Lytechinus pictus: one gene and its partner. The protein of the gene in region 2 purifies or fractionates together with the protein of the main gene of each other region. This does not show direct contact. Links are inferred from orthologs where the notes say so. Each region holds a gene or a part of one and is shown on either strand. Other genes may lie near its edges.

Evidence for each region. The genes of interacting proteins can lie anywhere in the genome.
Region 1: the proteins of superoxide dismutase [Cu-Zn]-like (region 2) and 10 kDa heat shock protein, mitochondrial-like purify together in Homo sapiens (affinity purification with mass spectrometry; 3 studies listed by BioGRID, with this or other methods). This does not show direct contact. The link is inferred for Lytechinus pictus from reciprocal best matches to the Homo sapiens genes SOD1 and HSPE1.

Annotation. Positions count from the first base shown.
Region 1 is NC_087257.1:28,123,894-28,135,107, forward strand, and holds 10 kDa heat shock protein, mitochondrial-like, read right to left. Parts: upstream 4,826-11,214; 5' UTR 4,523-4,825; coding exon 4,520-4,522; intron 3,120-4,519; coding exon 2,961-3,119; intron 2,437-2,960; coding exon 2,347-2,436; intron 2,079-2,346; coding exon 2,022-2,078; 3' UTR 968-2,021; downstream 1-967. UniProt on the Homo sapiens protein: Co-chaperonin implicated in mitochondrial protein import and macromolecular assembly. Together with Hsp60, facilitates the correct folding of imported proteins.
Region 2 is NC_087248.1:24,270,756-24,282,377, reverse strand, and holds the start of superoxide dismutase [Cu-Zn]-like, read right to left. Parts: upstream 5,410-11,622; 5' UTR 4,967-5,409; coding exon 4,892-4,966; intron 1-4,891. Other genes in the region: large ribosomal subunit protein uL13-like, read right to left, coding at 9,879-9,962, 11,006-11,128. UniProt on the Homo sapiens protein: Destroys radicals which are normally produced within the cells and which are toxic to biological systems.

The sequences.
Region 1 (11,214 bases), on a different chromosome or scaffold from region 2:
TGTTTTTCTTTTGTATTTTCACCTGGTTATATTTGATTATTCCATCTCTATCTCTCTCCTTCCACATTACATCTCAATGCGAATGTCTGAATCTCCCTTCCCTCTCATCTACCATACTTTTCTATTATGAACCCCCCCCCCCCCCGCCTTTTAACTCTCCCTCAACCAGACCTCAATCCTCATTCGTAAATCCCCAGCCCTCCTCTCTCCTTCCACCTTACCTTTAATCCCCATTTCTGAATCACCCCAGGACTCCCCCCTCTCTCTCCGACTTTAATATTCTCCCATCCCTGTCTGTAACCTCCCCCCCCCCCCCCCATTCTCTCTCTTGTCCTTTCCTTCCTGTCTCCATCTTCCAACTAAGTCCATACTTTAAAAACCTTGCTAAATCTTTAAACGTGCTGAAATATCAATAACCCAGGCAGTATTTTTATGAAAATCCCATTCAATTTCATGGCAGCCATTTTCCCCCCTTTCAAATAAAACAATGACGGATCCCTCCATTTTATTTCATTTTTTTACAATTGCCAGGCAAGGGACAGATTTGTTCATAAACCCTCATAAAAATCTGATCTGCAATAGAGCACTGAAGTGTGACATCAATTTTGTATTTCAGCATTTTTAAAGACATTTTCATGCAATACCTCCAAAACCCACAAAAATTGGTAGGAATCATTCAATGGGGGCCCCAAGAATTAAATGAACCACACCAATGGTACACTGACTTAATGGGGCAAATTATGTTTTCAAGAGGTCATATCCTCTGGCCCCCATCAACTGATTCCCACTAAATTTGGGCTGTTGGGAGTTTTTCATCATGCCCCGCCCTGGTATGATGTAGAAATGCTGAAGGGTTTTTGTGATGTCATCACTTTGGTACTCTATATATATTCTTCTCTTAGTGTGATTTACCACATGAAAGAGAATTAGTTGACAGATTCAGTCCCGTGAAACCGTTTGGAAGATATACAATGTAATTCAGTTTTAATCAACATGATCAGGTCATAATTTTACATACATGGTGCTATTCATTCATGAATGTTGACATATCCATACCTCAAAGGTACATAGTACAAACACTATTTTGGTTAATGATGATTTAACAGCCAAAACTTGAGATAAGCATCAGGATGCAAGGAGCAATTCACAACGACCATCGGAATTGATGCTAAGAATACAGTTGTCAGTACTACAATGTTCATGTAATTAATATGTATAAAGCACCAGGCCAACAGAATAGTATACAATCACAGAGCCAGTTTGCTTTCTATTTTTTTCAATACTGATAGGATAAGAAATAAACTAGTGGACACCATTTCATGAAAGTTGACAACACTGATTACATTGTCAGCTATGACAATTTCAGTGAAGTTCTTGGTTCCCATTGGCCAAGAATTGCTTGTAAGTGTTTACTATGGTAACTATTGGAGAATGACACATTGTCAGTGCTGACAAGCTTCATGAAACAGAGCCAGGGTAACAGATTACCAAGAAAAATTTAAGTGTTGCTTTACACAGGGGGGCTTGATATAAATCATTACTGATAAAATCTTGTACATGTATCTAAAACAAATTGCCATCTTATGACAGTGATAGTAGTTGAAATACAAGGATACTGTCACCCTTTTAAAAATATTTGTATGACTAGTAACATAATATTGCAGCAGGGTTAGATGGTCATGCTATGCAGTTTCGAAATCTGTGTAAACTGGACTGGGTAGAGTTAAAAGCAAGATAAAGGGGTTGTATTGACGCATTTTCCCATCATTAATCAATATAATATGAGCCTTTATGAGGCAAACGGAAATGAGTAAATTAACATAATATTTGAACTTTCCATTTTAGGCAAATCCAAGACTGCAACATATCAAAATACAAAGACAAATACTTGTAGAAAAGCAACACCATCATCCAACCAATAAATCATCTTCATATTTACACCATACATCATACATGCATCGAATAGGAGTCAACACTGGCTGTGGTCACATGTTATAATTAGATATTGTTCTAAATCTCCATCACTTTTCCTCATTCAGAACTCCTATTATATCGCCTTCCCTGAAGATGAAATATTCCTGTAAAAGAAAGAAAGAAAGAATGAAAATATATTATCATTAATAACATAAAAACATTGCAGTCAATGAAAAAGGGGACCTTCTGAGGATGTTTTATGTCATTCATAATGCTACGATCGGTTGCAAATACATGTGCATGCACGGTTGATGACTGATAAACTAAATAAAAGTTACATTTCAAAAGTTATCTTTATCCACCACTACGTGAACCACAAAATAAAATCATGACATGTGGAAAACATTTATTCCAAATGTTTCAGTACTTTACCTTCTCTTCAAATGAAACCTTGGTTCCTCCAAATTCTGGAAGTAGAACTTTATCACCAACATCTACAGCGACCTTGTGCACAGTACCCGACTGTGTTGGATGAGAAAAAAAAAGGCCAACAGAAGTAATTAAAAATGAGATAAATGTATGCCTCTGTTTGGTTGACAAGTTGCAATTGATATTTGGAGTTGAATGCGATTTTAACACTTTCTGCTACAGGCCCGTGGTCTGGTAAGATGTAAGAAATAATCATATCTTGAAGAAAAGACTAGGCTACTGATAAAATGCCTTGTTCATTTTGCTAATATTGCTGAATGATTTTTCTATCGGAATCAATTGGCAAAGAATACAGAATATTTGCCTGAGCAGTCATACTACGCAATGCAAGGTAATGGTACGATCACTCAGTGGTCTTTTGTTTGATTCTGTTGGATTTCCTACCACAAATTTATTTGAAAATGACAATAGTAGACACTAGTGGTCATGTTCACGTTATTAACAGCGAACTTCAACATAAAAAAAAATGTTGTGATTCCTACTGAAGCATAAAGTAAAGCAATGTACAGCTTTATAAATGAAACAACACCCTTTTCCCTTTCCTGCTGAATACTCACTGAATCTCTAGACCCTGCTCCTACTGCTACAACGGTAGCTTGATTGACCTTCTGCTGAGCCTTCTCTGGGATCATGATACCTCCTTTGGTCTTGGTCTCGGGGACAAGTCGTTCCACAAGGATCCGGTCAAACAGTGGTCTGAATCTCCTGAAAACAGCCTGAGAATATAAGATTTAAAAACAAAATAAAAATCTCAGGAAAAAAAAAAACATTTTGAGAGAAATAACTGATGTACTACACTGGTCAAGAATGTGTTGTAGTGACAAGCACTTTTATATAGTTTATCTATCTGCTATCCATATGGTTACATACGTATTCCCTTTTGGCGAGCCACATAACTCCTGGCTCTAGTCACAGCTCATGGTTCCCTATATAAGCCGAGTCATTCCTGTAGGTTAAGTAGTTGTTTGAGTTTGCTTCTAATGAATCCATAGCTGAAAGGGTGTATCACCTGGCCTGTGAACGTGACATACCCCGGCAGTATACATACTCCAGCTAGGACCCGACAGAGCGCTCTGCAACGGTACGCTTCGCATCAAACATCTTGTGCTTCTGTAGTTAATCTTCAACCAGGCCACCGAAGTACTTTCAGTGATCCATTATTAAGGTTAGCTCAGTAGTTCATGGTATAGTAGATATTATAAGTTAGGCCAGGCTACAACAATGTTTTTCTCCTGTACCATGGCAGTGGAGGTCAAGGAAAAGGGCTTATGGAAAGTGGGCATTGATCGACATAGGTAAAAGGCAAGAAGAGCAATAAAAAAAAGGTAGAAAAATAGCAAAAATAAAATAAAGGTGGGGATAAAAAGTATGAATGGGAAAACAAGTGATAAAATGTTGAGTTGCTCTATATTCTTCTTGAACTTCTCCCCCACTTCCTCACGCTCCCCTTCCAATTGATTTGTTCTTCTTCCCTTTCTCTTTCCCCTCCTCAATTTTAATTCCATGCATGCATGAATTCCTCCTCCTCTTCTCTTAGCTTTCCTCCTCTGAGTTTGATTCTCTTTTTATTAGAACTTTTCATTGTTTTACTCCAGAAGTTAAGCCTGTGTAAGGCCTTCTCCTCATTCAGACTCCTGCATTCTCAACCCCAGTTCCGAGTTCAAACTCAGCTCAGTCATTGAATATTGATCAACATCTGCTCACTTTTTGAAAGCCTAAGACTAAGTACCCCTCCGTCTCTGATCCCCCTCTATTTTTTTTTTAATGATAGTGATAACTGATAGTGATACATTGTCATTGGATCAGGATGTCCTACCAATCATCATCATCACCATCATGACCACCGGTAGTGGCGTGCACTACAAACTAAAGTACTACCAGACATTGCTGCTACACTCAATCAAACGGAATTAACGCAGTACCACTATCAAAGACAAAGTTCAAACAAGAATATTAACAATAACACGTTAATGCGCACAGCACACACAGAATTTAATGCCAGGGACTGCATGATCAAGCCAAGTCGAATTTCACATGATCTAGAACAACTAATATTTGAATGTATCAATATATTGTACATCTGAACGAAACATTCATATCGTATAAATTTTCTTACCATTTTATTTGAGGTTTATTTCCCTAAGATACGTTTAATTTTGACTATCCGGCAGTCTCGATCTCGACCCTTGTTGCACAGCACAGGTCCGCTCGGCTAATCACACGTGTTTAGCAAAAACAATGCTGCCGCGCGCGTACGCGTACGCATTGACGACCCCTCCCCCTTTCTTAAAAACCTCTCTAAAATTCCCCTTTCATAAATAAACTCATCTCATACATCGTCTATGAGACAGAGAAAAGGGACAATAATAATCGTCGTTCACATTTAATACACACAAATGGATTAATTTATCTACTTTGCAAGAACATAAAACATTGCATCACATCAGGGTCAGCGGCAGGGTCCCCGAACGTTCTAGAAACTTGATGATCGATCTCCTTTAGACTTTCTTGACAGCCGTTTGAAGTCAAGATAGTGTCGAGGGGCGTCAATGGGGGCATGGAATCCCGGCATGGAATATATGAATACAATCGAAATCATACAACTAAATATAGAATGGCATAAACATAAAATAATAGACGTAGTGTATAAAAGAAAACTGTTCGAAAAAAAAAAATGAATAGTCCTTGCATCATTCCTTATAGGTCCGTTGAGTTATCAGTATGTGGCCGTCTAATTTAAACTCCTGAGGGAAATTTCCTTTATTATGTGTCCCGTTTGTGCCCTGCATGTCACAGGCGTGTAGATGGCTTGGGAGCATTACACGGCCAAAAGGAATCGATCAATACATATAAAAAAATTATAATCATAGACATAAGATAAAGAGGCCGCTAAAAAAACAAAAAACTGACAATTTGAAATTTTAAACTGATTTTGTTTTAAACTGCATGAGACACCTGCATGCATGTTAATTGCCCCGGCTCAATTATTGTCTTTGCTCATTACCGGCTCATTATATACACTATATATACTTATGCATGTATGATTAGCGCAGTTTGATTTCAATTGGTTTTAACTGGAATATAACAATTTCCAGTTGAAACCATGCAATTGAAACCAGTTGGGCAACTGGAAATCCTAACTGGAACCCGTTGGTCAACTGGAACCAGTTGGGTAACTGGAAATGACTTCCAACTGGAAATGATTTCTAACTGGAACCAGTTGGGTTACTGGAAATCCTAACTGGAACAAACCAGTTGGGTAACTGGAAATCCCAACTGGATCCAGTTGGGTAACTGGAGATGACTTCTAATTGGTTTCCAATGGAAATTTTCCAGTTACCCAACTGGTTCCAATTGAAACGAGTTAATTTGCATATTATCTGCCAGTGTGCACAGATGAATGTTTTATGTGATTCATCATCATTTACAATGTACCTATTTAATTCTTTTCCATTTCAGGTACCATACTTGTTTCAGATAAGTGTTTAGAATGCTTAGCAGTGAAAACCATGTTAATAAATGTTTTAGATTATAATTAAAACAGATTATAAGGTCATAAGTACACCACTAACTGGTTACCAAATTAAATCAAATACAAATACATATATTTGAAGATCTTTCATATAAATATATATATATGAAAGTCTATTTTATCAATAATGAACGCCCTTTACATTGGTATTAATAGACATATAACATTGCTTCTTTGTTGGCATGAGCAATAGTTAATGCAAATTCTAATTCATTTGTATCTATAGAAAGTCAACAGGGGCCTAAGCTTTCGATCCTAGCAGAATCTTCGTCGGAGGCAAAATTTGTAACTAATTAAATTCATTCCAACTGGAAGTTCCAATCGGATCCAGTTGGAAACCAATTAGTTTCAACTGGTTCTGGTTGAAACCAGTTGCCTTCAATTGGTTCCAACTGGAACCCCTGATTGAAACCAGTTGCTTCCAATTGGATTCAATTGGTTTTAATAGGGAAATTGGAACCAATTGAAACCAGTTGCCTAATTGGTTTCAACTCAACCAATTGAAACCCATTGCCAACTGGTTCCAGTTGCCCAATTGGTTTTAACTGGAACCAATTGGCAACTGGTTTCATTTGGAATCAGTTGTTCCAATTTCCCTATTGAAACCAGTTGGCCAACTGGTTTCAATTCGTTTTGCTCTAATTGGTTTCAACTGGATTTTGGTCCTGGGTGGGGTGACTTAATTTGTGCTAGCTCTGCATGAATTCACCCTCACTCAAGTTCCACTTCTATGATAGGAAAGGGCGATATAATTTATAGGCCTATGTTGAATATATCAAAATCTATTTTTTTTTTTGAGCAAAAGTCCTATATCCCAGATAGTCCGCTTACAATTAACTTTTAAATGGAAATAACACAGAATTTTAATGAAAAATTGAGATGTCAAGGGCAAGGCCCTACGTAGTGGGCGTGCTGGGGTTATCGCACCCGACCAAAGTGGGCGCAACTGAGTGGCGAGTCTATAAACAAAACACTTTTTTCCTCCTGCTTGTCAAATCATATTTTTCTAATCGAAAGCACCTCTAGTGAAAACCTTTATTTTTTTAGTCTCATTTATTTATTTGTTTTTATTCATTTATTTATTTATTTATTCATTTATTCATTTATTCATTCATTTATTTATTCATTTATTTATTTATTTATTTATTCATTCATTCATTCATTTCTTCATTCAATTTTTTTCTGATCAAATTCACCTTCATCAAGTTCTGGAGTGAAACTTATTTTTACAAATGTTCATTTGCTTGACTGTCAAAATTTTACAAGCCAGCACCCCATCTTAAAAAAAATCCAGGCCCCTGTGGCATGTCTGGCACTAAAGCTTAAAGGTCAAGTCCATCTAAGAAACGTTTTGATTTTAATCAAACAAGCATTATAGGCCTAATACGCTGAAAATTTCATCAAAATCGGATAACTTAATAACAGTTTCGCTTATTTTTCACAAAACAGCTATATCAAGGAGTTATACAGTGATATCTCCTTGGTATATGCACAATCAGTGATATGCAAATTAGAGAGTCGGTGATGTCTATTCTCACTATTTCGTTTGTTTTGTATTGTTTGAATAATACAGTATTTCCATTTTTACCGATTTATATTACTGAACCAAAAAACATAATAACAATATGGTATACCACATGAGCCTCGCGGGGATATAGGCCTAACTTTTTTTCGCAGGACAATGAGGCTAAAATTAGAATATTTCATATAATAAAATACAAATAAATAGTGAGTGGGTGATATATGTCATCAGTCCCCTCATTTGCGTACCGACCAGGAATGTGAATATTGTTTGTGAAACTTAAACGAAACTTATAAATGTCATTTCTATTTCTTATTTTACATCCAAATTTGATGAAATTTTCAGTGTTATGCTTGTAGGGGTTTTCTCCTTTTATTCAAATCAACTTTTTGTTGGGGTGGACTAATTGTCCTTTGAAAAAATGCCGCATGGGAGCATTTCCCCGGGCACATTTCCAGTCACTTAAATAGTCTCCCAGCACATACTCATATTTGACACTTATAATTCAACCAACCATGTCTAGAATAAAGACTAGATGCCAAACTCTAATCTTTGTCTAATGTTGCACAAATTTATGAGTTAAATTATAAAGAGAAACTAAAAAGAATGGAGCAAACTTTAAACTGCTGGCGAACTAGAAACCTTTCTCTAATTGGTAGAATCTGTGTTGTCAAAACTCTTATTTTGCCACAGTTAATCTATCTTTTTTCTGTTCTTTCTGTTAAATTACCCAGAGCCTTTTTTAAAGAATTAAATAAATTATTTTTTAAATTTATTTGGAATGGAGGCAAGGATAGAGTTCAACGTAAGATAATGTGTAATGATTATACTCAGGCTGGACTAAAAATGATTGACCCTTTTTCTTTTGCATGTGCTCAAAAAATGGTCTGGGTAAAACACCTATTGGATGAGAATTTTGATGCTCCATGGAAAAAGATTGAAGTAGCCTTTTTAGAAAAAATTAATCATGATATTCAAATTTTGTGGAAATCTCATGCTCCTGAGAGCATTTTAAACAGTCTTGGTAATATACAATTAGCTGAAGCATTGAGAATGTGGTATTCATTTAGGGAGGAAGCTGCTGTCGAATGTTATGGTAAACATTTTTCAGATTTGAGTGGTTGTCAACTCCTGTGGTATAACAAATTGATTCGTTCAAAATCTAAACAGTATCTTAATTATCCAATGTGGCATGAGAGAAATGTATTAATGTTATCTGACTTATTTAATCCTCCTCTTTTAGGTCACAAACTCTTTGAAGAGCTTGTGTTAGATTTTGGAATCCCCCAAACAGACAGAAGGAAATATAATTATTTTACTTAAGTGCATCCCTGAAGAATGGTTGGTGAGTTTTGACCCTGATATTATTGGTGTTCATGAAACAATTGTACATAAATTGTTGAGTTATAAAAAAGTCCCTAGACATTCATACATTTTATTTAGGGGATCACACACACCTGACAAAAGATACTCTTATTGGGATGAACGTTTACCAATACCAGTATCTATCGATTGGGAAAAGGTACACTACACAATTTTTTTTTGTACCATTGATACTAAATTAAGATCTTTCTATTTTAAGATTTTTCATAAAGCCATAGCATTAAATGATTTTTTGTATAAGATTAAATCTAAGGATTCACCCAATTGTGTTTTCTGTGATAAAAGTGAGGAAACAATTATCCACCTGTTTTGCGAATGTGAAAGGGTAATTCCTATTTGGCAATCCCTTTTAACGAAAATTTCCCAAAATAATGTTCAAATAAATGGTTCTAATTTTGAAAAAATGTTCGGACTCTCAACTGATAAGTTCATTTCATACCTTTTTTTACTTTTGAAGTATTATATTCATACATGTAAATTTAAGAATAATCCTCCAAGTTTTGCTCATTTTAAAACATTTGTTAAAAAACAACAAGACTTGGAATATTTGATAGCTAAGAAAAAAAATAAGTTGCCCGCTCACTTTAAGAAGTGGCGATTCACCTTATAATTTGGTTTTAAAAAATGTCAGTATAGGTTACATGATAACTAACACTGTATATTTTGTATAACAGGTTTAGTGTCCCATTTTTTTATATAATACTGCACTGTATTGGTTATAATTATGGTTGTAGACATCAGATCCCATTTTTTCATGCAACTTGTATCTCAGTCACCTTGATATACTTATTCGTTTAAAAACCTCCATAATTATGTCGTCTTGGATAACCAGTTGTGCTTTTTAATCCTATGAATAGTTGTTTGGAAACCACTTCATATAATCATAGCTTGTATATTTTGTTTTGTCTACTTTATTTACCAAATCACCTATCTTTGTTTAGATAACACTGATATTAAGTCATCGCATTGCCACATTCCTTTTTTTTTGGGGGGGGGGGGTGGGGGAGGATAAGTGGGTAGGTTTTTTTTTTTTTTTAAATTATTATTATGGTTGTTATTTTTTGTGTAACTAAATTGTGTTTATGTGATTTGCAATCACCTATTAATCATTTGTAAATTTTGTGATTTATTTCAATTTGTATAATAAAAACAGAATTATTAAAAAAAAAAGTCTCACTACTTCAGACTCTGCATTAAGCACTAATTGCGCAAACTAATTCTGTACCTGCAGACTATACCTTTTATAGGCATGTCTTTGAATGAATTTAGATAAATGACTAAACAGAGTCTAACATCCCATCGGTTGTGTTCTAATCGATTACATATGACGGTAGAATTCAAGGGTAGCCCTGTAACCTGTATGAATATAAAATTATGAAAAACTTCTTGATTTTAAAGCCATAAATTGCTCCCACTGTCCCATCATTGAATATTGTAGATATCAATAAAAATAAAAAAGCCATAACATCATTTCAAAGCAATCAATTCTACGTTTAATTTACCCAATGAGATGTGTATTTATTTGGTTATGTGGGTGCAGGGCACTCGAAAATGTTTAAATGCCCTTGATTATGCAATATTCGTGCGTGCGAGGCTTTGATGCAGCACGTGCGAACATTCGAGATTACACGTGCGCGTGCAACCAACGTGAGCTGGTTTACCGGCATTTGTCACTGATCTCAGCCGTAACTCCCCCGAAGACCTGCCCTGGACAAACTGGTGGTGTAACTTAACAAAATCTCATCTTCTATTTACATAAGGCGTAAGTAAGATTTTATTTATTAATGTAGCTTTGTTCTTTGAACGCATAGGCACATTTTAGAAGTCAAATTAGAAGTGAAGTGTGCCCCCAACAACATTCTTTTTAAGTTTTGTTTTTAATTTCTGCCGAATTCTGGATGTCTGAACTAACGTTAGTCTGACTCTGATTCTGAATCTGAATGCTCTGTCTTTCTTTTCTATTAATGTTAGCATGGTTAGTACTTATTCCACATTTCTTTTCACAATTTAAATGTCATTTCAACACAAGTTCGATCTTGCAATCTTCTGTTTCTTTCAGTTTCAACCAATATTATTAGTACATATTGTCGATTGTTATCATAGTACAAGTACAAGCATGACTGATGACAAGCATGACAAGGACAACTACAACTTACAAGTACAACTACAAGACAGACAGTTTTTGTTGACCAAAACTAGTAACAAGCTTCGGTCTCTGTAATACTAAAAGGCTTAGGCTAATTGTTGATAAAATAATTTACTTTCCCTACGCAAATTCCGATTTTACTTATATCAGGGGCCGCGGAAGCGGGGGGGCTGGACCGGCTTCAGCCCCCCCCCCCCACTTTTTTCCAAAACCGTGTACAAAAACGTA
Region 2 (11,622 bases):
GGTTTTTTTTAAAGGAGCAGATGACAAATAACCACAGCCCAAATTTGGTAGGAATTGGTTCATCAGGGCTTGTAATAAACCACATCAATACCTCATAGTAAGATTGAAGTCAATTACTCGCCTAATTCTAAACACTCGGGCTTAAAATGATCAAATACCGAGCATATAAAGGCTATACCCTAAATCTCACATCCAATTCCATAAGAGGTCGTATCGAACTATATTGACTCTTCTTAAAAAGGTGGTATTCTGAAATTTAAACCTAGGCTTTAGCCCTAAACCAGAATTTTAAACCACACTTCCACGGAAAGCTGGGCTTCATAGCAATGTATTCCATATTTGTGACAATTATAATAATTCAATAAGATTCATTATAATTCGTTTTATTATCCTACATGTGTATTCTTCACATTTCACAACTTGATTCATTTTCTACAATTTTTTGCAGCTCGATAAGAATAAATTCAATTGGCGAATAAGGTTTAATAATCAACTGGCACTCCATAAAAGCATGGTCTAAGTTAACCCTGTTTCAATAACTAAACCATGCATATCAGAACACCACCCGATGAGCTGCAAGGGTAATGTCTAGATACAAATTACAATGCCTTTCATTCTTAGAATTTGAATGCTTTGCCTGAAAAGCTTTAATACGCAACTTGTTCATTTGAAAATGTTAGTGCTCATCCTAATGAAAAATCGCAAAAGGCCATTCGAGAAAAGTTGATGTGAGCTATCCTGTGAACTGACTTATTGGTACATGTACAAATTATCTTCAATAAGCCCTAGGCCTTAAGTCCAAATTCAATATTAAGTGGAATTTTGTGGAAGCTCCCAAACACCAAGGAGGGTTGCGAAAAGGTTCACAATACATCTAAGGATGAAGAAAGCTTGGCCTTCATTTCGAGTTTGATCAAAGAAGATAAAATGCAATAAATCAGACAATTTTAAAGTAAGGGGCAACTTGTAAAACTTGAAAATTCTAAAACAGAATGGGCAAGACACCTCGTAAATATATCAAAACTATTACTTGATTTGTTTCGAATCTTTCAACAAGCTCCCCCACCCTATTACTTTTTTAATGCCAAAATTACAATTCCATGTTCATGCAAAAGGTGTGCAACGAAAATTGACATTGCACGCTCAAGCAAACCAGTGCGGTAGAAGTCCAACAAAACTGTACTGTAACTTTTTTCAAAATTGTTTCTGTGTTGCTATTTTATAAAACAAATAATGCACTTGCTCTGTCGTGCGTAAAAGTAAATGCAGAGAAAGCTCGGTTTCTTCAGATGGAGCACACTGGGCACTCGCCGCAAGCGGCTCGTGCACAGTGCGACTCCTATCTAAAGAAACCTCGCGTGCTCTGCATTTCCACTAACGCACTCGGCTGCATGCATTATTTGTATAACACAACATTTGCTCGGGCGACAATTGCTCCGGGCTTTATTTTGTCTAAGATACAGGGTTAGGGTTGCAAATATAGTTTTATGTTACATGTAGGTTTATGGTTAGGTTTAGGATAGGGTATAGTGTTAAACTCAGGGTTGAAGTTGGCCATTCCATTAAAGGGATGCTCCAGGCTTAAAATATTTATAGCTAGATAGAGTAGAATTCACAGAGCAAAATACTGAAAATTTCATCAAATTGGATATTAAAACAAATAATGAAGTTATTTTAAACATTTGCATTATTCTGCTGAAACAGTTCCACACATGTCTTCATGAATATTCATTGAGTGGAATGATGATGTCACATCCCCACTTTCCTATTTCTTTATGTTATTAAATTTTTTAATGTCTCCATTATCAATATTATGAAATAAATTGCAGCAAGAAATAACTAATGCACTTAATCAGTTGTCAATCTAATTGTTTTAGTTCTTGGTAGGAAAATTTTGAATAAGCCTAATTTCGTATAATCAAATACAAAAGAACAAGTAGAGATATGACATCATCAGCCCACCTAATAAATATTCATGAAGACATGCCTAGAACTGTTTCACCAGAAGAATGCAAATCTTTGAAATTCAATAACATTGTTATTCGATTTTGATGACATTTTCAGCATTTTGCTCTGTGAATTTATTGAGATATAAATATCTGCAGCCTGGAGCATCCCTTTAATGAGTAGAATTTGCAGCGAAGCAATTGTCGCCTTAGCAAATGTCATGGAACCATATACATTGTAAGTATTTACTGTTCCCTTAATATGAAAAATGAAAGCAAAACTAAAATGGTTGCGTTACTTGTGTAGTCCGGTCTTGAATGAATTTTCATTTCTTATTTTTTTAATAGCAATCATTGATGGCTTTTTTTCTTATATCCAAGATATATTGCAAAAAACATCTTTCAACTTTCATTTGCAAATTTGAAATCAATTCTTTGAAACAATTGGAATCGGCAGGTACCGGTACTACTGATGGTCCCCTCCCCCTCCTTTTTAATAGATAAAAAGATAAAGGAAGTACACACATAACTACTGGTACAGTACTGGTGGGGGATAAAAAAGGTAGTATACATGCCTGGTACCTGCATATTTTTCCCCCCAACATCAAAGTCTGCCTTTACCTATTAAAGTTGGTAAAATTCCCCCAAATGTATCCACATGTATTACTATTCGAAGTCATTACTACTACATGGATATGTGTATGCCCTAAAACTACATGTATTACGAAGTGGAGGATAATATGAAATGACAATGTGTTTTCCAAGCTAAATTTTGCTCATTTACATGTACACTGTATACAAATTTATCATGATCGGGTGCCTGATCAAATGCTTTTTTTCCTTTTTTTTTTGGTTAATACAAAATATATTCCAAATCCAAAGCATGGAATTGGCTGAAATTTTCAGAACATTATCTTTTTTATGTGGCTTTCTGATATCGAAGTACTAAGGTTTAAGACGAGTGTTTCCAAGTACCCTTTTTGAAGAGGAACACAAAAATCCCTAATATCTAATAAAATGAAGGTATCTAAGATTTGAATAATTGAAATTTTCAGAGAATCGGCGTTTGAAAAAGGATTCAGTGGCTATATATACTGTACATGTACACTTCGGTGAGACTGGCATATTTACTGAAGTATAATTCACATAACTGAACAATTAACAAGGCTTTATATTATCCTTTGAAACCAAGGTACAAGTTGAATAGAGATAATCACTGTAGTGAATCTAAGATAATCATTCAATTGTTTATTTATCTGTTGGATTTGTTCAAACTCAATTTTTCCCTTTTTAGATTCTACTACAACTGACTTTAATGGTGCCTGTGCATAAACAGGTTAAGGTTTAGTCAAATTCAGTCAAAGCTGATTTTCCTTAAATTTTTTCTTTTAGAATCATAATGGCTTGGATGCATAAAAACTAGCAATTGCTTTTGCTTGGTTTTTACTTGTGTATGCATAAAAAATGAGCAATTGCTTGCAAGCAAAAGGTTTTTACTAGTAAGCTCAAGCAATTGCTCACTGCCTGCTGGCATTTGCTTGACGCTTGCATTTCCTTTAAAGCATTAATTAATGACCCTTGGGAAATGTTGTTTCAAATATGTATCACATGCCTTTGCGTTCTGATACCCAGATCCAGCACAAGTCATTGATTGCATGGTGCATTGCAGATACTGTAGCCCGATAGATGCTAGATCTACTTTAATAAGTCCAACCCAGAAAACTGTTGATTTGAATAAATAGAGAAAATTCAAACAAGTACACCAATGAAAATTTCATCAAAATTTGATGTAAAATAAGACCTACATGGACGACATATTAAAGTTTTGCTTACTTTTCACAAAAGTTATTATATGCGCAACTCAGTGACATGTAAATAAGAGAGTAAATGATGTCCCTCACTCACTATTTCTTTTGATTTTTATTGTTTGAATTACACAATATTTCATATAGAGTCTATAACTTTAGGTTATATCATAACCTTGTTCATTGACATTGAATGAGTGGGTCTACATGCAGTCTACCTACCACTTTTGTGTTCGAGTGCCCCCCGGAATAGTTCAGTGAAAATGGGCTTGAAATGAAATGCTGAAAACTGAAGACTTTGAAAGTCAGCTGCAGCTAGGGTTAATGTGACACACATCACACCCAATCAATCAAAATACAATTTGTTCGTTTAGTTTACTCCAACGATGTTGTACTTGTAGGACTAAGCCTGTTCATCGATCAAAGTAGAAAGTCTATTGCGGCTCTCCTTCAGACAAAATTAGGTGTGCTACTTATGTTGGCAGGGAGGGGTGGCAGGGGTATCGTAGACAGCAAAACAATTCCATGAGAACACACGAGAATCGAAAATCACTCAAAATCATAGGCAATCTTCTCCCAATGCCTATCGGTATCCAGTCTATTCTTAAATGCAATCACTGAACAAGCAGAACCGGTACCTACATCTTCTGGGAGACTGTTCCACACATCTATCACTCGGTTAGCAAAGAAAAAATTTACGCACGTCAAGACGTGAATATCTTTTCTCTAGCTTTAAGGAATGACCACGTGTTTTACCACCATTTCTCAGACAGAAAAGCTCAGAACTTGCATCAACTATCATAGTAAATCATGAATGCCCCCCCCCCCTCCCCCAACCAGGTGATGCCTGGCCTTCTTCATGCCTCATAAAGTCATATCATAATCATACTCATCATAGTCACAGTCATAAGTCATCATGGGAGTCGACATTCAACATTATTTGCACAGTTTGGATTATTTATTTTTCATTTAACGTGAGGCCTATCTATCACAAGTTGAGTGGCTGCCATGGGCATGGCCATGGAATGCATGCATGATTACAAAATGCCAGTCATTTTCATGCCAGTCATTGACTCAGTCATCATCAAGACATCAGTTTTCTTTTCCTCAAAAATTAAGAGACTACAGACCGATAGATACCTCTTTAGCCTCAAAGTTGATGACCCCCTTTACTTCTCCAGGTCCGGCAAGAGTGCAAACTGCAAGTACAGACATGATTCTTCTTTTAATTTACGGTTTAAAACGAAGAACTTGGCGAGATTGTCCAGCAGGCTCAGTCAGTTTTTGTCTGGTCTTTGCACACGGTACTAGATGCACTTGACTAGTTGTTTACGGCCGTACAAACACGTGTACCGGGGCCGAGCTGGGTAGGAATCTCAGGAGCTACGCTAGGCCGGCCAGCACTGGCCTAGCTCCGGGCTTTACCTCGTTGTGCTTTATTTTTGCGTGGCGTGTGCAAAACATTTATAGTAACCTCTAGCTGTTGAAGCGGGTTTGAAAAATTCTTCTTTTTTAAATATGGACTGCGATCCTGGTATCAAAAGAACACGTATTGTGAAAAGTACAGTGAATGTGCCTATAGAATTTATTGGCGAAAATTGGGCATACACCAACGAGCCTGCTGCTGACTATTGCGACGTATACGCAGCAGCGCGGCTACCGAATTAGAGGGGGGGGGGGGGGGGGTGAGGGTAACATTGAGACTTCACATTTATTTTTGTTTTCATTTTCTAATTCTTTAATTGGATTCAATTATTAGAATACTGGCGTAAAAACGGGGGGGGGGGGGGAGGTGGGCCCCAAAATTCCAACAGCGACCACGGGGGGGGGGGGGGGGAGTGGGAAGTCAATATCAAGTCGAGTAGGCCTAGTAATTGGGATCGATTAGGGCCCCAAAATTTCCAGGACAAGCCAAAAAAGGGGGAGGGGGAGATGATGAGGGAAAAGAAATGAGATTCGTAAATTAAAGAGTTTATGTTGGGTTTGCTTGGTAATTGCTTGCTTTATTAGGAGTTGGGAAAGGGATCGTCCGGGCTGAAAATGAGTAGAATTCACTGAGCAAAATGCCGAAAATTTCATCAAAATCGGATAAAGGGGAGGCGCGATAGCTCAGTCGGTAGAGCGGGGTTTCGGTCCGGTGACCAGGGTTCGATTCCCAAGTGGTGCGCTAGTGCCCTTTGGTAAGGCATTTATCCTCATTACCAGGTCCCTCGGAGAGGACCTTAAGCCGTTGGTCCCCTGGTTGCTTGCTCAAAGGCATTCATGCTTTCTTAGCAGTCAGGTAAAACAACCTCGGTATAACAAATGATAAAGTTATTGAAGTTTAAAGTTTAGCAATATTTTGTGAAAACAGTCGTCATGAATGTGGGGGACTGATGATGTCACATCTCCCCTTTCCGTTTTCTATGTTATCACATACAATCATAATTTTTTCATTATTTCATACTTGTGTGAATAATATGTCTCCCTTATAATGAAATAAGATGCAGCAATAAATATCTTATGCACTAAATCAGTTGTAAATCCAATTTTTCTAGTTCTTCGAGGTAAAAATTTGAATAAACCTAATTTCATATAATAAATACAAAAGAACAAGTGGGGATGTGACATCATCAGCCCACATAATAATATAGGGTATTTAAATTGCGCACATATCCACCTTGTTAGGTGCTCAAGGCGCTCCTATATTACCCGGCTAAGCTAGGCGTTCATAGCGCACACAGCTTTTTAAGGAATTACTTCCTACCGGTACCCTAATGAATATTCATGACGACTGTTTTCACAAAATATTGCTAAAATTTAAAATTCAATAACTTTATTTGTTATCCGAAATTGATGAAATTTTCGGCATTTAGCTCAGTGAATTCTACTCTATTTATTAAAGGGGAATCCAGCCTTGGCCATAAAATGTTGTGTTGGGAAGGAGAAAAATAAATTAAACAGAATGGAGAAAGTCTAAAAGAAATCGGACAAGCAATAAGAATGTTATAGCTGCTTTAAAATTGAGATCACTAGTACTATGTAGATTTCAAATTGGCAACTGGGTAAGTAAATTATGACAAGGGGCAAGGACAACTTTCCCATAGGCCATGTACTTTATTATCAAGGATTTGTGGTTTTCTCCTAAGTACCCATTCCCCTGTGGCAGTAATCTAAATATAACCCAGGTAGTATATTGTTTTATGTCCTCATGAAAGAAAAATATAATTTGAAATAAAACTTTTGGGAAAAATGACATTTTAGCCATAATATGTATTGGAGTACATGGAAGAGTAGTCCTTGCCTTACATCACTATGACATCCCATATGCGGCCAATTTGAAGTCTCCGTGGGTATAGTGATTACCAATATTTACAACTTTTAAAAATTCATAACTTTCTTGTTGTTTGTCCAATATTGTTCAAACTTTCACCTATCAACTTGTCTGATATTTCTTTTCCTTATAAAAACAAGTTTTTATTTGGGTTGGATTCCCCTTTAAGCTATAAATACTTTCAGCCCGGACCATCCCTTTAATTGAGAAATTTACCAGAATGACATGCACGTAGGCATAATTTGCTGCCCATTTGGCTATGGTCAGTAAAGTAATCTGTGTAAGTACCTCCAATGAGCTCTCGGCGAGCTCGGCCCGAGAATGATTCCTGCAACTTCAGAGTCCGGGGGTAGATGTATATGCTTAAGTATTTTGCAATTGAAGGTATAGGCTTCTATATAGAGCCCGATATAGAGGGATTTCAGAATCAAGTTTTGCATATCTCATTAGCAGAATAACGTTGCGTGCTCGATCAAAGACATGTAGGCCTACCATATAGAAAATTGGGTGAGTATAGGCCCCGGCCAGGCTTATATATGACAGCTATATAGTGCATTTTATGATATAATGCACGGGACAAAAAAAAAAAAAATATATATTTTTTTTAAAATCGAGGCGTGGCCTAAAAATGAAGAGTCATCCTCCGTTCGGAAATGCAGTCCCATTTTCATTACATTGGTGTTATATTGATGAGGACACCAATCTGCTTCAAATGAGATGTGTAAAACTTGGCTTTGAAAAGTATATAATGCAACATTTCTATACCCCATGTTAGCAACAAGAAGATGCCTCTTTTTTTCCCTACAATTTTCTTGAGATCTCTAGCCCCCCCAACCTTTCTCCCTCAGAACAGGCGCTCTTCCAGTACCCCCCCCCATCTTAATCCCCTCACTCATTCACCTTAATTGCCTCTCCCCTATATCTCTCAGGCTGCCCTGTCGCTATATCCACCCCCCCTCTGTCTCATCCTCTCTCTCCCTCACCCCCCCCCCTCTGTCTCATCCTCTCTCTCCCTCACCCCCCCCCTCTGTCTCATCCTCTCTCTCCCTCACCCCCCCCCCCTCTGTCTCATCCTCTCTCTCCCTCACCCCCCCCCCCCTCTGTATCATCCTCTCTCTCCCTCCCTCCCTCACCTTTTCCCTTCCCCTCCTCCAATATTCCCCCTCTTCTCCCCTTTCTTTCAGTCGCTCTCCCTTCCCCCTTCCTCTACTGCACAATTGTATTTTAGTTCTACATATACGTTCATTTATTCCCACCGTTACTTTCCACTGTATACCATCCCAATCTTGTGTGTGGCGTACATCTGGGTCCAATTTCACAAGTTACAACTCCAAAGAACTTTGTCATTTTGGCAACTACCATGGTAACAGGGCTCAGCAGCCAATCACAACCATGGTAGTTTCCATGATAATGGCAAAGTTACCATCATAGTCGCAACTCTTAATGAAATTGGTCCAATATTTCCTTTATGTAACAATGTTACGAAAATTCCATGCCTTTCATCTTGCACCAACAGCCAGAAAATTATTCATATATTATGAAATTTTTCTCATGCAGGGTTACTGTATTTGATTTATCTAAATTTAATCTTGCTTCCTAAGGGTATTTATAGGCACTCATTTGGTTGAAGTATGGATAGCCAATTTTTACATAAATCACTAACATTAGAGATATCATATTTCAGTTCATTTGGCTCTCAAATCATTCATAATTGTCTAGAAAGTATACATAGATGATTGTACAGTGAACATAAGAAACATACAACTTAATAAGAATTTTGACACGTTTGGCTTCCCATAATTTTAGCAGAGTTAGACCATGGTCTAAATTAAACCTGACTTCAGAATACGGGCCATAGACTAAGAGGTTTTGAACCAAATCAATATTTGGGTAGGACCTAACTAGAAATTAGGCAAACTAGTAAATGGGTTAAATGGCAATATGACCAAATGTTAAAGGTCAAGTCCACCCCAGGAAAATGCTTTCTTGCATAGAGAAAATCAAACTAGCATAGTGCTGAAAATTTCATCAAAATCGGATGTAAAATAAGAAAGTTATGACATTTTAAAGTTTCACTATTTCTCACAAAACAGTGATAAGCATAAGTAGGTCACTCAGTCGATGATGTCCATCACTCACTATTTGTTTTGTTTTTTGTTTGAATTATACAATATTTCATTTTTTAGATATTTGACAATAAGGACCAACTTGACTGAACCACATGCTAATTCCACATGTTCAGGGAGGAATTAATTGTTTTATCACTTGACAATGAGAAAATTTGAATATTTCATATTTCACATAATAAAATACAAAAGAAATAGTGAGTGGATGACCTCATAGTCTCCTCATTTGCATACCAGCCAGGATGTGCATATAACTGTTCTGTGAAATTAAGCGAAACTTTAAAATGTCATAACTTTCTTAATTTACATCCGATTTTGATGAAATTTTCAGTGTTGTGCTTGTTGCATTTTCTCTTTTCATTCAAATCAACTTTTTGTTGGGGTGGATTTGTCCTTTAAGTAGACGAACTGGTTGCCGATGAATAAAGATTAGACCAAGTGGGATGAGAGGAGACGCAAAGACGAAGAGAATGAGGTGTAGGGCAATCAGCAATTTACCTGGGAGAGTTACCTGTATGTCCGGTAGGGACAATTGAACAGAAGACAAACTAGAAACTTATTGAGGCCGTCCAGACTCAAAAAGACACATTGACACTCGTTTCCTTCTTTTTTTTGCATGTGACTTTATTCACTGCAGAATGAACACTTGGTGTGATCATGGTCTTAACAGTTCATTGATAGATGTGTTTCAATGGAAGCCATAGCCTTCAATGATCTTCTGGTAGGGGGCGATTTTGTCTCCAACACTCTTTACCGCTTTCCTTCGCAGGGCCTGGGTCGGGGGGGGGGGGGGAAGCAGAGTAGAAAAATAAGTTAATATCATAATTCATTTAACAAGAGGATAAGACGCAATGGATTTGCCCACATGTATGGGAACCCTCACATGCCACTCTGTACATGTAGTGTGACAAAGATCAGATTTTGAGAGTGCAAACAAAACACATAGAGAGCATCAACCAAAAATGGCACTGAGTATGAATATCATTTAAAAAAAGATTTATTGAATATTTTCTTGTTTTGTTTTTGTGATGCAAAAGCTACATTGAAAAAAAAGGTTCAATCGATGTTAACCGAGTATTGTGTTGAAAATTGCTATGAAGACATATATTTCAACATAGGGACAAATCTATTGCTGTTGTCAAGTGTAAAAAATTGAATAGATAAGACAAAACTTGTCTCTATTCTGATGGGCATGCAACAATTACATAAATCAAGCTGTTGACAACTTCTGCATGGTAAGTCACTTGTTGTGGTAATTCAGCTTGGACCGCAGTGGTAATATTGACCAATGTGCATCAGAATTCATGCTTTTTCTCATTGTAGTTATCAAACAATGTAGGTAGAATGAAAAGTCATCATTAGCAAGCTGGTCAGTGCCTCCCACCTTCCACAAAATTAGATTATTCCAATATCCTTCAACAAGTTTCTCTGCATGGTAAGAAATCATTGTTCTTTTTTGTGGGTTACTTTATTTTATTTTTTCAAGTTGGGATGTTAGTATCACTGTTGGAGCGAATCCTTTCATTCCGATGGCTAGTTCATTTATGCAACAAGAAATTTGTGAAATTCAAACCTCATTGTTCTGCCATATTGATTTTAAAAAATATTCATGAATATTTTTTGTGGCGTCTCTACAAAAGATGATGGTCATCCCAGAGCAATCTACTTTCAGAATTTGAGGGGCCATTTGGAGGGCATAATTGCCTTTCAGGCTCATGTATTTCCTTCACTGTTTCTACGCCTCGACTTTAAATCCCACTTGTCGACAATAAAAGTTAGACTGAAATGATTAAGTGGTTGAGAAAAGTGACTTACCACTTTCCTCTGTTCTTTCTGGTAGTGCAGATGGGCGCGGGCCTTTCTCTTCTCCTCCAAAGCCTCGACGATGTTCTTGTACTTCCAGCCGACCTCATGAGCAAGACGGCCAAGTTGGCAGAACTACAACATTTGATATGAGATTGAATCAGACAATGATATAGGAATGGGCATAGGGGGTGTTTCATGAAAGTTGTCAGCACTGACTTAATTGTCAGTGCTGATTATTTCAGTGAAATCCTTGCTTGTGATTGGCTGAGAAGCTCTGGCCTCTGACTGTCACTATTGTAACTGTCGGAGAAAGACATCTTGTCAGTGCTGACAACTTTCATGAAACAGTCCCCAGCAGGTGACTCTGCCACAGTAAAAAATTTTGGGGGGACCACAAAATTCTGTTTAGAGTACAAGCAAATAAGTAATGTTTTTCATATTCTGGTCTGAAATTCCGCTAATACTGAGGTGTTGCGACTTATGGAAGGACGAATTGTGCAAAATTTGACTTACGAATTGGGACATGTAAATAAGGAATGTTTTCATATTCTAGTCTGAAATGATAGTTGATTTGACTTATGGGAGGATGAATAATAAAGTCTACTGCCTTTCAACTTGCGTTTGCA